Linked DNA regions of Nothobranchius furzeri. The main gene of each other region encodes a partner of the protein of the gene in region 2 in a complex. Links are inferred from orthologs where the notes say so. Each region holds a gene or a part of one and is shown on either strand. Other genes may lie near its edges.

Region 1 (4,361 bases), on a different chromosome or scaffold from region 2:
GTCAGTGTCAGTCAACGCGGTGGAAACCTGTTCAACAAGTTGCTTTAGACCAAGCTTGTTTTGTCTCATGACAGGCACACAGTGCTTGTGAGGTAGAGGTCAAAAGGACCAACTTTCTGAGGATGACAGCCGAGCTTCTGGGGAGCAGGTACACCAGCTGACTTCACCATTTAAACAAAGAAGAGTACAAATACAATCCATTTCCCTAAACTCTAAGCTTTAACCAAAACTGGCCCGAATGGGGAACACAGTATAGGAAGTAGTGTCTGTTGCAGATGTGTGACAAAACAAGTTCACTGTGATGGCGTAACTTTCTGCGCTCAATGTTGAAAGTCACACTATAATAATAAATTAAAACACGCATAAACCCTCTGAGAATAAAGAAACCAACATCTAATGAACGCCTGTATTTATCCATAAAGCTGACACTTCCAAACCTCAAAGGAAAAAATATTCAAAAACGATCAACAATAGGATAAGGTTGAACTCCAGCAGTCAGCTATGAAAACAAACAAAACAGGAAATGCGAATGTTGTTTTCCGGTAGTTTGAGTGTCTATTGTATTTGTAAACTGAAAAGAATACAAATACCTGGACCAATTGCAAAATATTACCAATTCAATCCAATCTGTAGGTGTGGAAAAGTAAAGTTCTTATAATTATTCCCCTTTTTACTGTGCAAGATGACTTACGAAAAGTGCGTAAATGACACGTACGGTTCAAGCACTTGACGTTAGAACTTAGTTTTATGACAAATATCATATTTAAGTATTCATAACGTGTTCAAATACTACTTATGACTTCACATAAATTGTAAAACAACCAATAACTAATCTTGTGAATTTTTATCCCTTACCTGCCAACAAAGTTTTCCAATACAGAGCTTTTTCCAGCGCTCTGTCCTCCGACTACGGCAATTTGTGGAAGATCTAAATTGCAACTCTGCCCAATTGAGCTGAAAGCATCTTGAAGCTTGTTGATCAGGGGAATCAGTTCTTCCATGCCCCGGTTCCCCATGGCTTCGTTTAGCTCGGAGAGCCCTTCAGTTAAACGAAAACCGGAGGCTAATGTTAGCTTAGCAGCGATGTGCTCTCTGGTTGCTCGTAAGTGTTGAGTTCAGCCGATTCAAGCAGCTCAAATATTTAATTCGACTTTGAAATCCTGAGCTCCTATAAATCACTGCCAGTTCAGAGCAACATAGTGTCGTATTCCTAAGTTAACTAAAACCCCAGCGAGTCGAAACGAACGAAAAACTCGCAAAACAAAACTTCCTCAACACAAACGCCATCCGGTCCGGTGAGACGACATCCGATCGAAACCGGTAATTGTAGACCCGCCTCTTCTGTCTCTGTCAGAATCTAAGTCGCTTATTTGCTAATTCTGTTGTCACGTCACTAAATTATATTCTGATTGGATAACAATGTGAAAGGCGTGTTTGTCACGCTGCGTTACGATTCCAATTGGTCGATCAGACTGTCAGTTGCTGCCCATTGAAACATGGCCGCCGCCACGGTACGTGGAGTAGATAGAAACACATCAGAAAGCCTCATGTCTTTGAAGAAAGCTGTAACTGCAGCTTCGCCTCTTGCTTTGAGAATTGTTGCTGAGTGTCCAGTGACTAAAGCAAGAGCTTGTGATTTAGCACTGCCACACTGGACAGTCAGCACGCCGGTTTTTATGCCCGTCGGCACTCAGGGAACACTGAAGGGCATCACTGCTGACCAGCTGGAGAGCCTTGGATGTCAAATTTGTCTCGGAAACACATACCACCTTGGGATGAGGCCGGTGGGTAACTTGTGACGTATTCAGTAGGGTTTAAAACATGGCCAGATCACTTAATAGCTATGTTGCTTCCACTTTCTAAAGGGACCTGATTTGATAGAGAGAGCTAACGGTTTACATGGGTTCATGAACTGGAAGAGAAATCTCTTAACTGTAAGTATAATAATACAGATTTCCTGAAAACCAGAAGTTACGTGGTGCTGTATTCTCAGAGTAATAGACAGTCAAAGTGTAAAGGATACCCTCTCTCTCTCCTAAAGGACAGTGGAGGGTTTCAGATGGTGTCTCTTGTGGAACTTTCAGAGGTCACAGAGGAAGGGGTCAAATTTAAATCCCCCTATGATGGCAAAGAAATCTTGTTAAGTCCTGAGAAATCCATCAGCATACAAAACAGTTTGGGTGAGCAAACAGTGAATCATGTTGATTTAGTAATATGTTTTATGTGTTCTTCAAAGGCAACATTTCTCATCCTCTTTCAGGGTCTGACATCATGATGCAGCTGGATGATGTTGTCAGCAGTACAGTGAAGGGACCACGGGTCGAGGAAGCCATGCATAGATCCATTCGCTGGCTGGATCGCTGCATAGCAGCCAATAAACATCCTGATAGACAGAACCTTTTTGCCATCATTCAGGGGGGACTGGATGCACAGCTGCGCAAGGCCTGCCTGAATGGTAATAGGAGGAAAAAAACTATATCCTTCCTCTGGTTTTACTCTTTTCTTCTGTCTCAGCATTGACAAGCACGTAACATAAGAAGATGAAGTGTGGACGTCAAACCAGTTAAAGGGGCATTATGGAAGTTTGACAGCCAAAACATGTATAGAAATAATTAATGTCTTCTTCATACGTTCTCCTGCAACGCCCTGGTCCTGTAGAATGAGCCCTGGCATTTTTACTGTGATTGCCTGTTTTTTCTGTAAAATCACAGAAAAAGAGAGCTGCTCGGGTCGAGCAGGCTGCTTCATGCGCGTTCACGCTCAGGCATCGCCCGTAGCATTTGCTATCCGTAGCTTTAGCAGCAGAGAGAGAGGTAGTGCCAACTCAGCGACTTTGTCTCTGTTCCTAACGCCTAGTGATGCAAATTAGCAACAAAATAGCCATTTTCGCTCCGAACCGTTCTTTGAGCGTTGTTTTAGCTGTAATCAAGGATATAAATGTTACAGATACCGAAGACGTCAGTGGCGGTTAAGCTCATCTAGTTAGACGTCGGACTCTAGCGCAAGAGACCCAGGTTCGATTCTGGGTGAGAAAATAGATTTTTTAGAGTTTCTTTTTTTTACATTAATGGTATATTTTTTTACAGTAAGACACCCAAATTTTTATTTGAGACTCGTCGAACGGCATTGAATTCACAGATAAAAAAATGTGGGTTCAACTTTCATCTTGGAACAATTTTTCAAGCAAGGGAAGGGAATGATCTGAGCATGCAGGAGGACTGACCCATCATCAACCTTTGTCGGCTGTGCTGAAAAGAAAGATACAGAACCAAATTATTTAATTAATTAGCTGCCTGTTCTCCTGCCCTCTTTCCTCCGGGCCACCCACACACACACACACGGGACTGTCTCAGCTGTTATTTTCGTTAAGGAGTGTGCACGTACAGCATGCGCGCCTCGTGCACGAGCCTACTATTGAAGCTGCCGTTACACTTTTGGCCTGAGGGGGCAATCGCGAGCATAACAATTCAAAACTCCATAAAGTCCCTTTAAATAAATGTTCATTTGCCTCTAAAATCCAGCTGTTGGAAATCAACATGTTGCAGGATAATTGGTGCAGAAAAAAAGACAAGTGGATGAATCTAAAGACTTTAATGCCTTGGCTGTGCTGTTCAAAACGATAACGCACAAATGTGTAACTGGACTTTTGCAAGATCAAAAACTCATGATCATAATTTAGTATTGCGTGTGTTGATATGTCGATATTTTTAATGCAGAAATGACTCAGCGTGATGTTCCTGGTTTTGCCATTGGAGGCTTGAGTGGAGGAGAAGAGAAGGATGACTTCTGGCGGATGGTCACACTGAGCACTGACTACCTGCCAAGAGAAAAGCCTCGTTACTTGATGGGTGTTGGGTATGTTTGCAGAAAAATGCCTTTTGCAAACGGGTTTTGTTTGCTATAATGACATTAATCAGAAGCATGTCTTTTCTTTCCATACTGCAGGTATGCTGTGGATTTAGTAGTGTGTGTTGCTTTGGGATGTGATATGTTTGACTGCGTCTTCCCAACCCGCACGGCGGTAAGTTCTTCATACATTTCATATTTGTTGTTTGGAATTTTTTTTATTGAAGGAGTTCTTTAACAACACACACAAACCCATGAACTCACCGAGCTGCAGAGTTTCTGTGGTCACCTTCAGATAACTCCACATGTGACGAGCACCACCTCAGACCTCAACATTCAGATTCAGGCCCCGTAAGCCCATGTTCCACTCCTCCTCTGCAGTTGGAGATCAGCGAGGCTAGCGTCGCTGCAGGTCTCTGGCTCTGGCTGCAGCGAGGTAGCGGAACCGGGAAGCCTGGCTGCTCAGTGGGACTGTCGCCAATATGGCCACAAGTTTCCCAGTCCTACCAACACAT
Region 2 (4,548 bases):
GAGTGTGAAAATCGAGGCATGAGAGATGATGTATGCAGTTTATTTCACAGGAAGCGTATAGGTATTGCCTTAAATCCTCAGATTAAACCCCCAAATCATTGCCCAGACATCTTAAAGGAGGTCATTTACCAGCAGCAATGCAATGTGGAGAATTTCTGACAAAAATCTACATTTTTCTATCTTTCTGTTGCAAAAACCACAAGCCCATGTATTCTGAAGTTTCACCCTGTGCATCTCTTTCATTTATAAATACTATTAGATTTTATTTTCAGTTGTATTGCTTCTTTTTAGGGAATCCGGTAATGGTGGCAAAAGGTACTGAAACTTTATCTTTGCATATATTTAGAAAATAAAAACACAGACACACATATGCATACTTGTCTCTGTATCCATGTGTGGACCCTCCATTGACATCAGTTCATTTTTGGGACTCCACTATGCCTAATCCATACCCTACCAATGCTGTTTTATTCCTAATCCTAATCTAGACTAAAAGTTAATTCTCACCATAGCTCTAAAACCATGTTTAAGGGTATTTTGTCATTGTGTGGACTAGCCAAATGCCCCCACGCACGCACGCGCGCGCGCGCGCGCACACACACACACACACACACACACACACACACACACACACACACACACACACACACACACACACAGTGTTTTAGGCTTACCTTGTCGGACAGGAGCCCTTTCAACCTGAACGGCTGACCTGAGGATGCCATTATCACCACAATAAAAGCCTCTGAATGGCACAAAGTGAGCCTAAATCTTACTTAATTTCCAGACTACATACGCGAAAAAATAATTCACTGTTTTTGATACTACAGAGCAAAACTTGAGCTGAAAGGCTTGCTACCTTCGTGCTTCAAAGTGAAGAAATGTGGGTAATGATTGAAAACAACTGCCTAACCTCCCATAAATTCTGACCCTTTGAGCTACATATCCCAGTAGACTCAAGAGTGTCTTCGGTAACCGTGGCAACAGTGTTTGCCTCTGAAACTTGAGAAAACACATAAAACACCATACAAATGTCGGTAAGATAATACCTTTCAGGTATTTGTTACACGAACTTCTATGAAATAAACTAGAAGGTTGATTTATTTGGAAAATAAAAGCAGACGGGATAATCTTCCCTTTGAAAAATATGTTGGCGGGTTGGCGCCCTCCATTACGTCATATGTCCGCGACTTGTAGTTTCTCCCAAGACATGCGTTTTTAACGGTAAGCCCGATAAATGTGCTCCTGAATTAAGCAAATATAAAATAAAAACGCTAAACAACAAACGCGAATTTCCTTCTAACGACTCAGTGTCAATAAAAAAACTAGTTTGGCAAAAGTGACACTAAGCTAAACAGCTAGGTGGCTAGATCGCTTGTAACTTCTGGCAGCTCGGATATAGTTGTTTGTTTTGGAAATTTTCCTGGAGTTGTTATGGCTGGCAGCAGGATGCAGCTGGAGCTATCTCGGGTGGTTCATGGGACAGCTCGGTTGGGTGTACTGAAGGGTCTCGGGAGCACGGGGCAGCACTCGCTGGATGTTCCGTGCTGCTTGCTGTACACCCACTTTGGCACAGTCCCCCATCTCACCCAGGACACGCTTCACACCATCAGCTCCCTCCCTTTTGTCACCCAGGTCGCTCTGTCACATGTGTAAGTCCACACACACACACACACACACACACACACACACACACACACACACACACACACACACACACACACACACACACACACACACACACACACACACACACACACACACACACACACACACACACATAGCTCAATCTTATTTCTAATCTACATCTCTCCAGAGCAGAGCACCAAGATGTGCTGGAAGAGTTTAAAGATGGACTGAAGAAGTTTGCAGGTACAGTTGTGCACATTTCTCATCACTTTTCCCTAGTAAGAAGTATCAGTCTGCATGTGATCAATAAAAACACCAGAAAAGTCTATTGGATCTTTTAAATGATCAAATTACAGTTTTTTTTTTACAGACATTAGGACCCATTTCTCAATACTTAGGTCACATTTGCAAAACTCTACATCCAGTGTGCACAACAGAAGTCTATGTGGGCCAAACTGAGGATCAATTATCATTGCTTTGGCACAAAATGCATTGAGTGACTACATCTCTCAAATGTCATGAAGTCCTTTCTCACTCAGACACAACTGCCAAAACTCATTGTACTAACAGGACATTTTGCACTTGCTTACATACTGTTCACAAAACTGTAAAACTTATGTTCAAAACAATAACATACTGCAAAACTGAATATGACAGCAAAATCCAACAGCAATATGTTATTGAAACATAAATGCAGTTTAACCAGCCACAGCTGGAAGGGTTGTGCTAGGATGAAAGGGATGTGGGCAGACGGAATCAGCCAACATATATAATTGTATGGGACAATGTGGCATTTCACCACTCCCATGCAGTCACAGAGTGGTTTGTGGCCCATCCCAGAATGGAGTCACTTTTCCTCCCACCTTACTCTCCATTCCTCAACCCCTTAGAGGAATTCTTTGCCTCATGGCGGTGGAAGGTGTACGACCATCATCCACATGATCAAATGTCCCTTCTGGATGCAATGTACGCTGGATGCCTGGACATACCAGCAGTAGATTGCCAGGGATGGATCAGGCATGCCAGAAGATTCTTTCCTAGGTGTATTGCCCTAGATGACATAAGATGTGATGTGGATGAGAACCTGTGGCCAAATGGAGAAGACCGAGTAGATTAGCATATTGAATCTGTATCAGAGGATGTTGTGTTAACAAAGTCTTGTGTTTTGGAAGTACTTAGTGCAAAAACAAATACCATTAAAAATAAATGAACAACATGAAATATTGACTAATTCTGCATCATGTCTGATTCATTCCAGTAACATCTATTGGAAGTATGAACAGAGATGTGTCCTTGTTTTACACAAGAAAATGTAATGCTACACGTTGTTAGTGTTGTTTTAGGTCTTTGTTTTGTGGGTGACAAAGTGGGTTTGTCGGCTGTCAACCTTTGCTAGTGTTCTGGAGGAATGTGTTTATTTGAGACCTGCATGAAGTGTTTTGGTGGTTGTAGTGCATTTTGAATGTGAAATGAACTGTTTTGCCAAGCTGAAACTTAGTTAGAACTGTGTGAAGTGTCTAGCAAAAGTGACATTAGTAATGAGAAATGGGCCCTAACGTCTGTAAAAAAAACTGTAATGGGAGTGTCCTGGCCAGGAGGTTCAAAACATCAACAAATGACTGCAAACATACAGGAGATCTAACATTTACACAACATAATCACCTATAAACTATTAACATCACTAAAACATTACACTCTACTTATTAACCAATTACACAAGTCCGGGATAATATATTAATATGTTGTATCTAAACTGTTTTAACATTTGTTTTAAGGCATCTTAAACCAAAAACAGCAGGAACACATCTTTTCACTTATTCTTATTATAAGGTCCATAATTTGTGACTTATGGTAATGAATCAATAATGTGTAGATTTATATGATTTGTTCAAAATATGGGTCTATCAGGATCAAATGAATAAACTTCTTACAGCACTTCTAAATAAAACGCATTTGAATCTATTATAGGAATCTAATCTGCTTTTTAAACTAAAACAAAAGTGTTTCTGCTCCCAAGTCCCCGATTTAGCTTTGCTTTTACATGTAGTACTAAGCTCTACTCAGGGTTTTGCAGTGAAATTTCAAATTGTAAATGCAATAAATGTTGATTAATTTTGTAATGGATTACCAAAGTGTTGTCTCTAAAGCACCAGAAAGGAAGAGCAGTGATTTAAGGGCTGGAAATAATAATTAGGCTCTTTGTTTTCTCACCTTCTGATCTTTCAGCTGCAGCTGGGTTTGCTGATAAAGTTCATGTATCCTCTCTGTAGCATGCAGAAATAGGCATTCAGCTCTGGTAGCGTTCTTGGTGCTCATTTGGTACAGGCGTTGTTCTCAAGGTGTGAATTTTAATTCTCAGGGCTTCGTGATACAGCGTTGTTCTGCTCGCTTCACGACCCCGCAGCTCCGTGCCCGACGGGCTACACCACTAATAAGGTGAGACGAGGTTTCACGCTCTGCTCTGTGCATCATTGACATCTCTTGGGTGTTTGAGCTAAAGCTTGGACCACATCACAGAGGACAGCAAAAATAAAATTAATTAAATTTATATTTGTGTCATTAGACGGTGTCTGTGTGGGGCAGCGGTGGGCGGATCGACATGTCGGTGGCCAAGTTCATGGCTCTCCAAAAGGTGGTGCAACCAGACTGGTATCAAAGCATGGCGGACGGAGAAACATGGCAGATCAATGCGTCTCGCAAAAGGGTCCGAAAATCTGTGGATCGAACCCTGGCTCACCTGGACGAGTGTCTGCTGCTGCACCAGAAGTCACAGGTACACAAAAACACACACACACTTGTCTCAGTGTGTGAACTCTTAATATTTGGAGTCATTCATGCACAACAAAAGCACATGGATGGATGTTTAGTAGCTGAAAGATCAGAGTGAATGTGTTACCAGCAGCGTGTAACTAAGTAACT

What was found.
Region 1: the proteins of qtrt2 (region 2) and qtrt1 are in contact, whole or in part, in a crystal structure (PDB 7OVS), measured with the Mus musculus proteins. The link is inferred for Nothobranchius furzeri from reciprocal best matches to the Homo sapiens genes QTRT2 and QTRT1. Residues at the interface, in NP_001343258.1 of Mus musculus: Arg39, Thr40, Gly41, Ser42, Ala43, Pro44, His45, Leu46, Thr47, His48, Gln49, Thr50, Asn53, Glu70, His71, Glu73, Val74, Glu77, Tyr78, Phe85, Ile86, Gly87, Phe119, Gln342, Glu343, Phe345, Tyr355, Asn359, His360, Ala363; in NP_068688.2 of Mus musculus: Thr50, Thr53, Met54, Lys55, Gly56, Ile57, Thr58, Thr59, Glu60, Gln61, Ser64, Arg80, Pro81, Leu85, Lys88, Ala89, Phe95, Met96, Asn97, Ala307, Lys308, Phe310, Pro320, Thr324, His325, Ala328, Phe329, Ala332, Leu333, His335.

Annotation. Positions count from the first base shown.
Region 1 is NC_091745.1:2,106,257-2,110,617, reverse strand, and holds the start of qtrt1 (queuine tRNA-ribosyltransferase catalytic subunit 1), read left to right. Parts: upstream 1-1,478; 5' UTR 1,479-1,496; coding exon 1,497-1,784; intron 1,785-1,865; coding exon 1,866-1,934; intron 1,935-2,041; coding exon 2,042-2,180; intron 2,181-2,260; coding exon 2,261-2,455; intron 2,456-3,716; coding exon 3,717-3,855; intron 3,856-3,945; coding exon 3,946-4,021; intron 4,022-4,361. Other genes in the region: dnm2a (dynamin-2), read right to left, coding at 856-1,016.
Region 2 is NC_091747.1:50,803,463-50,808,010, reverse strand, and holds the start of qtrt2 (queuine tRNA-ribosyltransferase accessory subunit 2), read left to right. Parts: upstream 1-1,434; coding exon 1,435-1,652; intron 1,653-1,816; coding exon 1,817-1,872; intron 1,873-3,988; coding exon 3,989-4,065; intron 4,066-4,192; coding exon 4,193-4,402; intron 4,403-4,548. Other genes in the region: ccdc191 (coiled-coil domain-containing protein 191), read right to left, coding at 675-725. UniProt on the Homo sapiens protein: Non-catalytic subunit of the queuine tRNA-ribosyltransferase (TGT) that catalyzes the base-exchange of a guanine (G) residue with queuine (Q) at position 34 (anticodon wobble position) in tRNAs with GU(N) anticodons (tRNA-Asp, -Asn, -His and -Tyr), resulting in the hypermodified nucleoside queuosine (7-(((4,5-cis-dihydroxy-2-cyclopenten-1-yl)amino)methyl)-7-deazaguanosine).